Linked DNA regions of Coturnix japonica. Each later gene encodes a partner of the first gene's protein in a complex. Links are inferred from orthologs where the notes say so. Each region holds a gene or a part of one and is shown in the gene's direction. Other genes may lie near its edges.

Evidence for each region.
Region 2: SNIP1 (region 1) and CWC15 share a complex: the UniProt entries of both Homo sapiens proteins name them as parts of the minor spliceosome. The link is inferred for Coturnix japonica from reciprocal best matches to the Homo sapiens genes SNIP1 and CWC15.
Region 3: SNIP1 (region 1) and RBMX2 share a complex: the UniProt entries of both Homo sapiens proteins name them as parts of the minor spliceosome. The link is inferred for Coturnix japonica from reciprocal best matches to the Homo sapiens genes SNIP1 and RBMX2.

The regions. Positions count from the first base shown.
Region 1 is NC_029538.1:3,337,877-3,342,077, forward strand, and holds the start of SNIP1 (smad nuclear-interacting protein 1), read left to right. Parts: upstream 1-1,941; 5' UTR 1,942-1,965; coding exon 1,966-2,117; intron 2,118-2,199; coding exon 2,200-2,296; intron 2,297-3,152; coding exon 3,153-3,736; intron 3,737-4,201. Other genes in the region: DNALI1 (axonemal dynein light intermediate polypeptide 1), read right to left, coding at 342-511, 594-730, 1,731-1,811. UniProt on the Homo sapiens protein: Required for pre-mRNA splicing as component of the spliceosome. As a component of the minor spliceosome, involved in the splicing of U12-type introns in pre-mRNAs. Down-regulates NF-kappa-B signaling by competing with RELA for CREBBP/EP300 binding.
Region 2 is NC_029516.1:165,900,023-165,904,223, forward strand, and holds the start of CWC15 (spliceosome-associated protein CWC15 homolog), read left to right. Parts: upstream 1-1,545; 5' UTR 1,546-1,568; intron 1,569-1,602; exon of another isoform or gene 1,603-1,714; intron 1,715-2,909; 5' UTR 2,910-2,917; coding exon 2,918-3,048; intron 3,049-4,201. UniProt on the Homo sapiens protein: Involved in pre-mRNA splicing as component of the spliceosome. Component of the PRP19-CDC5L complex that forms an integral part of the spliceosome and is required for activating pre-mRNA splicing.
Region 3 is NC_029519.1:1,522,048-1,526,248, reverse strand, and holds RBMX2 (RNA-binding motif protein, X-linked 2), read left to right. Parts: upstream 1-1,104; 5' UTR 1,105-1,153; coding exon 1,154-1,158; intron 1,159-1,240; coding exon 1,241-1,356; intron 1,357-1,504; coding exon 1,505-1,556; intron 1,557-1,634; coding exon 1,635-1,764; intron 1,765-1,886; coding exon 1,887-2,067; intron 2,068-2,481; coding exon 2,482-2,927; 3' UTR 2,928-3,435; downstream 3,436-4,201. Other genes in the region: RAB33A (ras-related protein Rab-33A), read left to right, coding at 571-1,026; SLC25A14 (brain mitochondrial carrier protein 1), read left to right, coding at 3,745-3,808, 4,029-4,176. UniProt on the Homo sapiens protein: Involved in pre-mRNA splicing as component of the activated spliceosome. As a component of the minor spliceosome, involved in the splicing of U12-type introns in pre-mRNAs.

The DNA.
Region 1 (4,201 bases):
CCTAATAAAAGCACAGGGATAAAGTAGGGGGATGGTACAAGAATCAGTGAAAACAACACGTAACAGCAGAACCCTTCAAACCTGTCATGGTTTTTTTATGCAGCTTTCAGCTTAAACCAATAACACTCTTGCAGGTGGAACACCAGCACCGTGTCATTAGTATGATATTAGGTATGGTATTATTACTATCTCATATAGTATTAGGAATGGCTAAGGGCTTTTTGCAGTGTTTTTAAGGTCATGATTGGAGTTATGTACAACCAATACAACATTAAGCACTTGTATCTTTTATGTACACATAAAATACCCTTTCCAGGCTGTTATTTAAGTGTGCCACTGACCGAAGCACTGCGAGTACAGCTCCCTTCTCACAGGACAGATGCCGGTCTCCCTCGCCTGCCGCTGTTGCAGCTTCAGATCCAGCTGCTCCTGCAGCTGCACGACGTCCAGCCGGGTGCTGGGAACACTGGACACCTCCTGCACCCACAGCCGGTTATCCTCCTCCCATGACCTGCACCGGAAAGCAGCAGCGATGGAGCTCGGCGGGGCGGTCCTGAGTTAAGGCTCTTGTTGTTCCCCCCTCCCCGGCTCACCGCGGCGGTAGGATGGCGTTCAGGATCTCCTGAGGTTCCTTCGTGGAGGCGGCGGAGGCGGCAGCAGTGCGAGGTCGGGACGGAGGGACAGGGCCTGATGGCGGGGAGGCCTGTGGGGTTCCCTTCAACGGTGAGGCCTGAAGGGAGAAAGCGGTGTGAGCAGGATGGGTGAGGTGTGAGGGCTCCCCCCGTCCCATTCAGAATCACAGAAACACAGAATTATCAAGGTTGGAAAAGACTTCACTAGGAGAGTGGTGAGGCCCTGGAACAGGCTGCCCAGGGAGGTTGTGGATGCCCCGTCCTTGGAGGTGTACAAGGCCAGGTTGGACGGGGCCATGGGCAACCTGATCTATGGGGTCTCTATGGGGATCTATGGGGTCTCTATGGGGGTCTATGGGGTCTCTATGAGGATCTATGGGGTCTCTATGGGGATCTATGGGGATCTATGGGGGATCTATGGGGTCTCTATGGGGTCTCCTGGGCAACCTGATCTAGTAAATGTGTATGTTTGGTGGCCCTGCTTGGCAGGGGGGTTGGAACTACATGATCCTTGAGGTCCCTTCCAACCCGGGTCATTCTGTGACCTAGAAGATCATCTAGTCCAACCATTCCCAATACTTCCCAGCTAAATCATATTCATCAACACAACATCCAGATGTTTCTTGAACACTCCCATGGTCAGTGACTCCACCACCTCTTTGGGCAGTGCATTATAATGCCTGACTACCCTTCCTGAGAAGCAATACTTCCTAATATCCAGCGTGACTCTCCCCTGACACAGCTTAAAACCATTCCCTCTACTTCTATCATGGATTAGAGGCTCACTACAACCTCCCTTCTAACTTCTAACTAAGGGAGTTATAGAGGGCTATAAGGTCTCCCCTGAGCCTCTTCTTCAGGCTGAACAACCCCATCTCCCTCAGCTTCTTCTTATAAGTCCCCATTATGCTCCAGACCCCTCACCAGCTTCATAACCCTTTTCTGAATGTATTCTCAATGTCTTTCTTGCAGTGAGGTGCCCAAAACTGAACACAGGGGGACAATTACCTCCCTGTTGCTGCTAGTAACACTGGTTTTGATACAATATAGGATTCCTTTGGCCTTCATGGGCCATAATATCGGTTCATATTCACTCACCTCTGGTGATCGCTTCTCAGTACGGCGACTCACCAGCATGGGCGGGTTATAACGCAGCAGCGAATCGGGCGGTGGGATCATGGCGGCTCCTCGGTCGCTATGGTTATAAACGCCGCTCCGTTGTTTGTTCTAAAGGCGCATGAGCGTTAGGTAAAGATGTAGTTCCGGGTGGTTGAGAGAGAGGTAACACGGATGTGAAAACGTAATTCCGGTTGTGGGGGGAGTCGGTAGCAAGATGGAGGCTGAGAGTGAGAGGAGGAGGAGGGAGAGAAGGAGGGGGGAGATGGCGGTGAAGGCCGAGAAGCGCAGCCCACGGAGCTGCGGGTCCCGTTCGGCTTATGGGAGCCAATCCCCCCCCATTGAGGAGCGACGGGGCAGGAGCAGCAGGTAGGAGGCCTCATAGGGCCTTATTACGGCCCTGTATCGTAACCCTGAGGTTCTGTGCATTTCTTGTGTACTTGATTTAAAGGTCGCCTAAAAGGAAGAGTAAATCCGGCCGGAGGAGCAAATCACCGCGGGGGAGGAGGAGCAGGAGTCCGCACCATGGAGGTGTGAGGGTAAAGCAGGTAAATGGCGTTGGGAGAGGCCAGGCCCCACAGATCCCCATAGAGACCCCACAGATCCCCACAGAGATCCCATAGACACCCCATAGAGCCCCATAGAGACCCACTGAACCCCATACAGACCCCATGCAGACCCCATAGAGCCCCACAGACAACCCATAGATCCCCAAAGACACCCCATAGATCATGTTGCCCATGGCCCCGTCCAACCTGGCCTTGAACACCTCCAAGGACGGGGCATCCACAACCTCCCTGTGCAGCCTGTTTCAGGGCCTAACCACTCTCCTAGTGAAGAACTTCCCCCTAACATCCAACCCAAATCTTCCCTCTTTTAACTTAAAACCATTTCCCCGTGTCCTGCTATTGTCAGCCCTTTCCAAGAGTTTACTCCCCTCCTGGGAGTAAGTTCCCTTCAGGTATTGAAAGGCTGCAATGAGGTCACCCCGCAACCTTCTCTTCTCTAGGCTGAACAAACCCAACTCCCTCAGCCTGTCCTCATAGGGGAGGTGCTCCAGCCCCCTGATCCCTCTAGAATAACTCTTAAGGAAGAGAGAGTCTTACAGTGTAACATCTCCTTGCTCTCTGCTTCGTGTTTTCCTGGAAAGAACTGAGTGTTTGTACCTTTTAGTGAGCCCAGCCCCTGTTATTCCTGTAAGAAAATGAGTATTTGTGCCTTTAAGTGAGCCCAGCCTGCAGGCTGACCCTGAAGGCTGATGTTATGATGCATTGCTCTCTGTCAGCCTTGCATTGTTGGGCCCAAGTTGTGGGAATTCACTTTGGAAGGAAATAAATAAATCTAGATATACACGTACCATGTTACAGTCTGTGTTTTTCATGTGTTTTCTGTCTTCTTCCTCAGGAACGAGACGATCATCCTCACAGAGGAAATGAAGAGAGAAAGCAGAGACACACGTCAGAGCAAGAACACAGACGAGATAGAAGCGGTGACAGAGACAGGCACAGAGATCACTCAGACAGGAGGAAAAAGGAGGAAAGACCTGGAGGTCGAGGCCATGAGAGAGAAAGAGATGTTCAGAACATCCGTGAGCAACAAGCAGAGAGGGAGTTCTATAACGAAAGAAGACGAGAGCATCGACAGAACAACGAGGGGAGCGGTGCTGAGCAGAATCCAGAACACAAACAATCTGATAACAAACCAAAAGATAAAGCTGTAAACAAAGAAAAACCAAGCTTTGAACTGTCTGGTGCCCTTCTGGAGGATACCAACACTTTCCGAGGCGTTGTGATTAAATACAGTGAGCCCCCAGAAGCTCGGATTCCAAAGAAACGATGGCGTCTCTATCCATTTAAAAACGATGAGTTCCTGCCTGTCATGTACATTCATAGGCAGAGTGCTTATCTCCTGGGCAGGCACCGCAGGATAGCAGATATCCCCATTGATCATCCCTCCTGCTCAAAGCAACACGCTGTGTTCCAATACCGGTCAGTATCGCTCTGTATCCCTCTGGTAGGTGGGGATTATTTGGTCGCTTGCGTGCAAAGGGAATCAAAGAACGTATTGGATGTGCACAGATTAGAAAATGCATGTTTGCTCAATGGTTTTAGATAGGTGGAATTTAGGTATGGATGTAACATATATGTAATTCCTTTTTGTTTAACCATAAGCAGCCTCGTGACTCTTAACATATATATAATTCCTTTTGGTTTAACCATATCTAGACTTTTAGTAAGAAACACAACACAACAGGATGAAATACAGAACTGCCTGTATATCTGAATTGGAGTTATTAGCAGGTGGGATTGGCAATAAAGAACGTTTAAAGGAGGGTTTTTCATTTGTTCCTTCCCAACAAAGGCTGCCGATCTCCTTTATAAACAGCAGGGTTGTGTGCTTCAGGAGGCAGAGCTGCTCTCTTAAGGAACAACCATCTGTTCTGCTTCAGGATT
Region 2 (4,201 bases), on another chromosome or scaffold:
AGGGACTGAATCATTGTCAGCCAGCATTGAGAAAAGGGTAAAATTAGCTTAGTCCTTAGCATAGCTGTTTGGCTAATAATTCCCACAGTGGGGCATTTTTGCCTAACACTGGATGCAGATACTGAGTGACATATAGCCCAGCAGCTCATCTGCATGTAAATATCACATGGCTAAAATTAATTGCTCTGTCAGAGCTCAAAGAAACCATTTGACTCTGCAGAAACAATAATTCATCCTCAGGGACGAGCTTGTGATAGAGAGCGGCAGAACTGTGTGCTCCTCAGTGCCACCCATGCCCCCAGCACCCTCCTCCCTCCCTTGCTGAGTGCCTTTCAGCTGACATCATGTTGTGGGTGGGGAACTGCTCCAGCACAGCCCCACGGGCAGCAGCTCCCCCAGCCCTCCTGCCCCACTGTAGGCTCCTCTCCACAGGCTGCACCCTGGCCTGGGGCTGCTCCGCCTCCAGGACTCTTCCACTGCTGCACAGTGGGCTCCTCCATGTCTGCATACGGAGATCACAGAATCACAGAATGACCCGGGTTGGAAGGGACCTCAAGGATCATGTAGTTCCAACCCCCTGCCTGGCAGGGCCACCAAACATACACCTTTACTAGATCAGGTTGCCCAGGGCCCTGTCCAACCTGGTCTTGAACACCTCCAAGGACGGGGCATCCACAACCTCCCTGGGCAGCCTGTTCCAGGGCCTAACCACTCTCCTGAGTGAAGAACTTCCCCCTGGTATGATAGAGTGCGAGTGCGCGTTGAGGATGCCTAAAATATCTTTCCCTCTTTTTAATCTCTAAAACATGTCCCCCTTAGTCCTGCTATTATCAGCCCTTTCGAAGAGTTTACTCCCGTCCTGGGAGTAAGTTCCCTTCAGGTATTGAAAGGCTGCAATGAGGTCACCCCACAACCTTCTCTTCTCCAGGCTGAACAAGCCCAACTCCCTCAGCCTGTCCTCATAGGGGAGGTGCTCCAGTCCCCTGATCATCTTCGTTTCCCTCCTCTCGACCCTTTCCAAAATCTCCATGTCTTTTTTGTACTGAGGGCTCCACACCTGGACACAGTATGAGAGATGCGAGATGTGCCTGTGGGCTGCAGGGGGATGGCTCGTTCCCCTGTGAGCCTCTCCTGGGTGCTTAGGAAGGGCCTAGTTCAGGTTCTGTGCTTATTTTTGCAGGGAATTCTTGCTGACTCGTGGATTTTTCTCTGTTGAGAATAGTCACAAGGTCTCTTCCTCATTGCAAAGCCATTGGCAGCCATCAGGAAGCAAAGGCAGACAGTGGAGCAGGAGCTGTGACTGAGCACAAACAGCCAAAGAACCAGCGGGGTGGGAGGCAGCCGGGAGGAGCTGGGATGACTCTGTAAGCACACAGAAAAGCAGCAGCACAAGGGTTCTATGGCAGCACAGCAGGGTGTGTGTACTGCTCACAGTCATACACGACTTTAAAGCACAGCTCACACGCAGTGCTGCTGTACCTCAGGGCGGACAGCAGGTGCCACTCAGGCACCAACAGCGTCTATTTCCACTTCATTATCGAACATGGCGGACTCAATTCCGCACTGAGGTAACAAGTTTTTCCGCCTTCCATCTCTATGGTAGTTCCTCCTTCCGCCGCTCCGCTCTGTGGTGGCTGCGCGGCGCCTTGTGGGTAGAGGGCGGGATGATGGCGGTGGCGTAGGGCCCGGCTGCTCAGCGGGAGGAGACCCCGAGGTCAGAGAAGGGGGATTGAAGGGATTAAATCGGGGCTTCTGAATGTGGAGGGTCGGCCCTGGGGTGGTGGGCAGCCTGGGGGGACACCGGGAGGGAGGTTGAGGCCGTGGGGCGGCCTGGACGGGCCTGGGAGAGCGCCGATGGAGGCGGCTCAGCCGAGCCGGCGTTGTGCGGCACTGACGGGGCTGCTCCAATGCTGCGCTGATGGAACCTGATCGGAGCAAACCCCTGGTTGCCCCCAGCAGCTCAGGCTGCACAGGGCTCATCCAACCTGGCCTTGAGCAGGGATGGGGCACACAGCTCTATGGGCAGCTGTGCCAGGGCCTCACCACCTTTTGTATGTCTCTTATTTAAGTCCTTAGGCTGTGCTTATGGATGTGTGTAGTTTCGTTTAACAGACTGAAGATGGCACTGATGGGTCATCCAGGGTGGTTGGTTGGTTTGATTCTTTTGTTTTGTTTGTTTCTTGGTGGACTGCCCTAAACTTTTGGCTCTATGGTTTGGGTCTGCGTGGCCTCCAGCTGCTTTGTGCAGTGCTGAGCACTTCTTGGCATCAGTTATATGGGAGCCATAGTGGTGAGGCTGGTCTCTTTTCAGTAGTGTGTTGGGACAGGACTAGGGGTAATGGGATGAAAGTACAGCATAGGAAGTTCTGCACGAATGTGCACAAGAACTTCTTTACAGTGAGGGTGACGGAGCACTGGAACAGGCTGCCCAGGGAGGTGGTGGAGTCTCCTTCTCTGGAGATATTCAGGACCTGCCTGGACGCCTACCTGTGCGACGTGGTGTAGGGAGCCTGCTTTGGCAGGGGGGTTGGACTCGATGATCTCTAGAGGTCCCTTCCAACCCCCACAGTTCTGTGATTTCATTATTAGATCCTGTGTTTTTTTCCAGAGGGGAAAGAATTACTCTTCTACCAAGATATAAGGATAGGAGACTGGCTCCTGGCATTTTATCCACTTCTATAAACATGACCTCACATTCTTGATTGAGTCTCTATCATCTTTCAGGCATGTTGGAAAAGAAGCTGTCAGTAAAAGAAGCTCTTAAGCTTTAAGGCTCATGCACCAGTTGATAATTTGTATTGTGTAGTGGGATTTGCTGTTGCTGCAGCAGTTCCAAGAATGACGTAGCTTCTGGTGAATGGCTTTCACTTTAAGTTATAGTAATGACTGTTTTTTGCCCTTGACTCTAGTAACTAAAATGACGACAGCAGCGAGGCCAACGTTTGAGCCTGCAAGAGGAGGGAGAGGAAAAGGTGAAGGAGACTTAAGTCAGCTATCCAAGCAGTATTCCAGCAGAGACCTTCCCTCTCATACTAAAATCAAATACAGGTAAGTATCGTTATTGTCTGTCTTATAGCAAAGCAGCCTGGAGCTGTTTTGTTGTTTTCTTTCTTTGTGATGTGACCAACACTCTGAATTTCTTTCACGTTAGATATTTGTTTGCTTGACATTAAGCAGACACAGAAGCAGGCTTAGGAGATTGAGTGGGTTGCAACTGATTTGGAAGGTTTAGTTTTAGTGGTGTCAATAACTGCTTGTGGAAGGGAATCAGGAGAAGGTAATCTTTACAGATTAAGCATTTCAGGCAATGGAGTGAAAAGAAAAGCATTGGGAACATACAGAGACAGCTGAGCTAGAAAGGTGGTGTGACTTACAAGATGGGATAGGAGGTATGAAGTTGAGTATGTCATATATTGGCAAAGAACCTGGGGAAGAGCACTAAGAAGAGGCAGGGCAATGTGTAACAGCACTCAGGCATTAGTAAGTATTGGAAGAGCTGATGTTAAACACTAGAAGGGTTCTAGAAGAGCCTGTTGCTTTAACTGGTGTGAAAGATAATGGGATTTTATATGAATACTATCCTGTGTTTGGAATGCTTAATAATTTATGTTCTTTTAAGATAGCATGAAATCTGGAGTCAACATGCCACAGGATTTAACTGAGTTGTGTCAGCCTGAAAATAGTCTTTTTTTCTAGCTTAAACTGTTGCTTGGGTTTTGCTTTCTTAGTGCAGATATTTACCCTTTCACTGCTTCCCTTCCACCCATTTGAATAACTTTGAAGGTAACATGGATACGGGAGGTGGGATGTTCAGAGATCACCAAAAGCAACAGCACAAAATGTGCTATTAAGGGAAAAGTGGCTGGTGGTCTGTCTCTTTAAACAGAGCGGGAGTGTGGAGCACCAGTCTGTTGTTCTGAAATGAGTGTGTGGGAAGAAATACATACAGGAATATACGATGTGTGTGTGGTAACGAATCCCTTTGAGTGAGTGTGTATGTGTGTGTGAAGGGGCATTAAGCATCTTAAGTTCATTCTCCCAAATATCAAATACAAAGTTGTCTTTGCTAATTTGCCAAGGGCTGCATAATTGCAAGAAAGATTTGGTATTTCAGTCCCACTCTCCCGTGCCTCTTTGACAAAAGGCCTGGGGGGGATTTTTGCAGCCATGTCAGGGATTCTGAATTCAAGTTTTTAATTGT
Region 3 (4,201 bases), on another chromosome or scaffold:
GAAGCTGGCCCAGCGTAGCAGCTTCCCTCGCTGGCTCTTCTATCACTTGAGTTTTGAAGTTGGAATCTCACGCTTTAAGCTGTGCTGTGTTGCCCCTCCAGCATACACTGGAATGGCTGAAGGCCTCCAGAAGGGCCTAAGCCTGCAAACATGAGACTCCCATCTGTCTGCAGAGGGCACCTTCCATTTACTCTCCCTGATCAGGCTGGAGCTGCACACTGCCCTGTCTCCATGGCTCTCGGCTCTTTAATCCTTATTGTTTGCCTGGTTCCTCCCCCAGACAGAGCTCCATGCAGGAACGCCGCTCTCTTTGCCCTGCCTCCTTTGTGGATACAGAGCATCATTTCAGTGTCCTCATACAGCACAGCATTAGGTGGGTTGGTGTGTTAGTCTGTTCTGACACGAGCAGTGCTGTGTGCAGTTTGACAGGGATGATGGCTGGGTACACCAACATGGGGCAGGTAAGTCACCGGGCTGGGGCCTTTCACCCCTGTAGCACAGCAATGAGCAGAGCAGCAGCACAGCATCCTGCAGCAGCAATGGCTGCTCACGCCGTGTTGTGCCCCATAGGTGCAGGTGTGGGACACGGCCGGGCAGGAGCGGTTCCGGAAGAGCATGGTGGAGCACTACTACCGCAACGTGCACGCCGTGGTCTTCGTGTACGACGTCACCAAGATGGCGTCCTTCACCAACCTCAAGATGTGGATCGAGGAGTGCAACGTTCACGCCGTGTCCCCCCTGGTCCCCAAAGTGCTGGTGGGGAACAAGTGTGACTTGAAGGACCTGATCCAGGTGCCGTCCGGCATGGCTCTCAAATTCGCCGACGCTCACAACATGCTGTTGTTCGAAACCTCGGCCAAGGACCCTAAAGAGAGCCAGAACGTGGAGTCCATCTTCATGTGCCTGGCCTGCCGGCTCAAGGCGCAGAAGTCGCTGCTCTATCGCGACATGGAGAAGCGGCCGGGCCGGGCGCAGAAGCTAGAGCCGTCACGTGACGCCCACGGTAAAAGCGCGTGTCCGTGCTGAGCGCCGACCAATAAAGCTGTGCGGAGCCCTCGGACTCGTTGCTTTGCTTGGCGCGCATGCGCGGCCGGGGCGGGGGCGGAGGCGGGGGGGTAAGGGGGGCGCATGCGCAGTGCGCGCCGCCGCCGCCATGAAGTAGGTTTGGATGGGGGCTGGGTGAGGGGGGGGTGTGCGACCGGCCGGTGCTAACGGTGCTAACGGAGTGCATCGCCCCCAGCCCGCTGACCAAAGTGAAGCTGATCAACGAGCTGAACGCGCGGGAGGCGGAGCTGGGCGTGAGCGAGGCGGTGTCGTGGCACGCCGAGTACAAGGACAGCGCGTGGGTCTTCATCGGTACGTGTAGGCCGCGATGGGGGGACGGGGAGGGAGGAGAGAGCAGGGCTGTGGTAGGCCCTGTGCTGGGCTCCGTGCTGGGCTCCATGCTGGGCTCCGTGCTGGGCTCCGTGCTGGGCCTCCATCGCTGCCCTGTCTCCCCCCGCAGGCGGGCTGCCCTACCAGCTGACAGAGGGGGACGTCATCTGTGTGTTCTCGCAGTAAGTTCCTACCTGCTCCATCCCCATCTTGCTGTGCCCCTCCAGCCCTGCTCTGTGGCTGCTGATGGTGTGTTCCAGGTACGGGGAGGTGGTGAACATTAATCTGGTGCGGGATAAGAAGACTGGGAAGTCCAAAGGGTTTTGCTTTTTGTGCTATGAGGATCAGAGGAGCACCGTGCTTGCTGTTGATAACTTCAATGGGATCAAGGTGAGTGATGGAGCTGTGTGGCTGCAGCAGCTCCTGGAGCGCTCAGAGCACATCAGAGAGAAGCTCCATCGGCTGCTGGCCCCACAGCACACGCTTTGCTGACTACCTGACTCCTGTCCTAGATCAAAGGCAGGACGATCCGAGTGGACCACGTGGCCAACTACCGGACTCCCAAGGACTCCGATGATTTAGATGATGTCACAAAAGCCCTCCATGCAAAGGGCTGCGGAGTGAAAACACCACCTCATACGTCGTCAGATTCCTCCTTGGAGGATGAAGACACGCCAGCCCAAAAGCAAAAAGGTGAAATGCATTTCTGCCCATCTTTGCCCTGGGTGGGAGGATCTGTGTGGGCTACAGGGACTCTTAGCTCAGCGTACAGCAGGGATAGGGATCCTCTTGAAAACAGATGCAACCCGAATGTCCAGGCTTATCCTCTGTGATCTGCGTCACACTGCCAGTATTTATCTATGATCATTCACCCCCTGCCTCTGGAGATCCTTATTTTGCAGGTTATAGTGGCACTCTTCCTGGAGAAAAGGAGTTGGGCTGGGCTGCAGGGATGTTGCAAGGGGGAGGGGGCAGGACAGTGGGGGACAGGGAGAAGAAAGGCTCCAATAAAGCCTTTCTCTACAGAGCTCTGGTGCTCTGTAGCAGAACTGGTGGGGATGATGCTTGCAGGACTGTCCATCTCTAAGGATGACCTTTTTGTTTCAGATAAAGAGAAGAATAAACATGAACGGCAAAAGCAGAGCTCTCAGGCTGCAAAGAGAGCAGCACCTGCCGAAGAGGCACATCCGAGAATCAAGATTAAAAAGGAGAAGGAAGATCCTGGCTACGAGCGATATGCTGCTGGTGGGGGTCAGCAGTCCTGCAGTGAGTCTGAGAGGAAACACGTGAGCAGGACGCAGCGAGATGAGGAAGAGCAGAGACACCAAAGGTCGTCGGGGAGGAGAGGGGAAAAGAGCTCCCAGGAACACAGAGGGCAGAACAGCTCACGGGAAGAGAGAGGAGAGGTCAGCAGGAAGGGTGAGGGACACAGCAGCTGGCGAGAAGAGTGTTCTGAGGGAAGCAGATCCAGGCACCGGCGGGAGAGCAGCAGCAGAGAGCCCCATTCCAAGCACAGGGAGCGTGGATCCACCAGAGATTCCAGCCGTCACTGAGCCCTGGAGTGAGCACCTTCTGGGCCACAGCTGTGCTCTGTGAGCTGCACCGGGAGCCTGTCTGAAGCCTCCTGCTATGGCCCTAAGGGTACCACAGCTGTGTCTCGTCTCACACACACCACTCTGACCGGTTCACTCCTCAGACAGGTTGCTCTCAGTGCTGTGGGCTGTGATGTGGGCTCTGCTGCTGCCTTGCTCGGCCCTTCTGTGCAGTGGCATCACTCAGACGGTTGTGGAGGGGCTCACGGCACAGTGTGGGCAGTGGGGTGCTGAGCAGCAGGATACGGACACCGAAACTGCCCACGTTGTTCAGGGGGAGCGTCCCTGTCTGCAGTGGGGCGGTGGGTGCTTGCAGGCGGGCACGGTGCTTTGTGCCCCCAGCCCGTCCTGCTTCCTTTGTTTATGTGATGGATATCAGAGGCTGCTGAGCCATCGCAGTTCATGGCGTTTTTTGTTTTAAACTCCTTTTAATAAAAATCGATCCTTTAACCAGAGGAGATGACTGGGAGCACTGCTTGTGTCCGGTTGTGCTGTTTGGACTGAGCATTGATGGCAGCTGACACAGAAATGGGGAGCGCACAGCAGTGGATCTGAGCTGCGCTTTGCTCTCGGGGTGGTTCCGGTCGGTCCCGTGCCTGCAGCGCTCTCCCGTCTCCTCCCCGCCGTTCTCGGGCGGTGCCGCTGGATCCCAATTGCGGGCCGAGCTGCCGGGTCCGCCCGGCTGGGGGGCGCAGTGCTTCCCGTTCCGCCGCGCTTCCGGTTCCGGGTGGAGTTGAGGCAGTGTCCGGCCCGGCGCGGCGGCGCGCCCCGCCATGCCATGTCCGCGCTGAACTGGAAACCCTTCGTGTACGGCGGGCTCGCCTCCATCGTGGCCGAGTTCGGTGAGCTGCGGCGGGTACCGGCGGGTACCGGCGGGTATCGGCGGGTACCGGCGGGTACCGGCGGGTATCGGCGGGTATCGGCGGGTACCGGCGGGTACCGGCGGGTATCGGCGGGTATCGGCGGGTACCGGCGGGTACCGGCGGGTATCGGCGGGTATCGGCGGGTACCGGCGGGTACCGGCGGGTATCGGCGGGGCGCTGACGGCCGGTCTCCCCGCAGGCACGTTCCCCGTGGACCTGACGAAGACGCGGCTGCAGGTGCAGGGCCAGAGCGGCGATGCGCGGTTCCGCGAGGTCCGTTACCGCGGCATGTTCCACGCGCTGTTCCGCATCTGCCGCGAGGAAGGCGTCCGCGCGCTCTACTCGGGGTAAGTGCGGGGCCGAGGGGCCGCG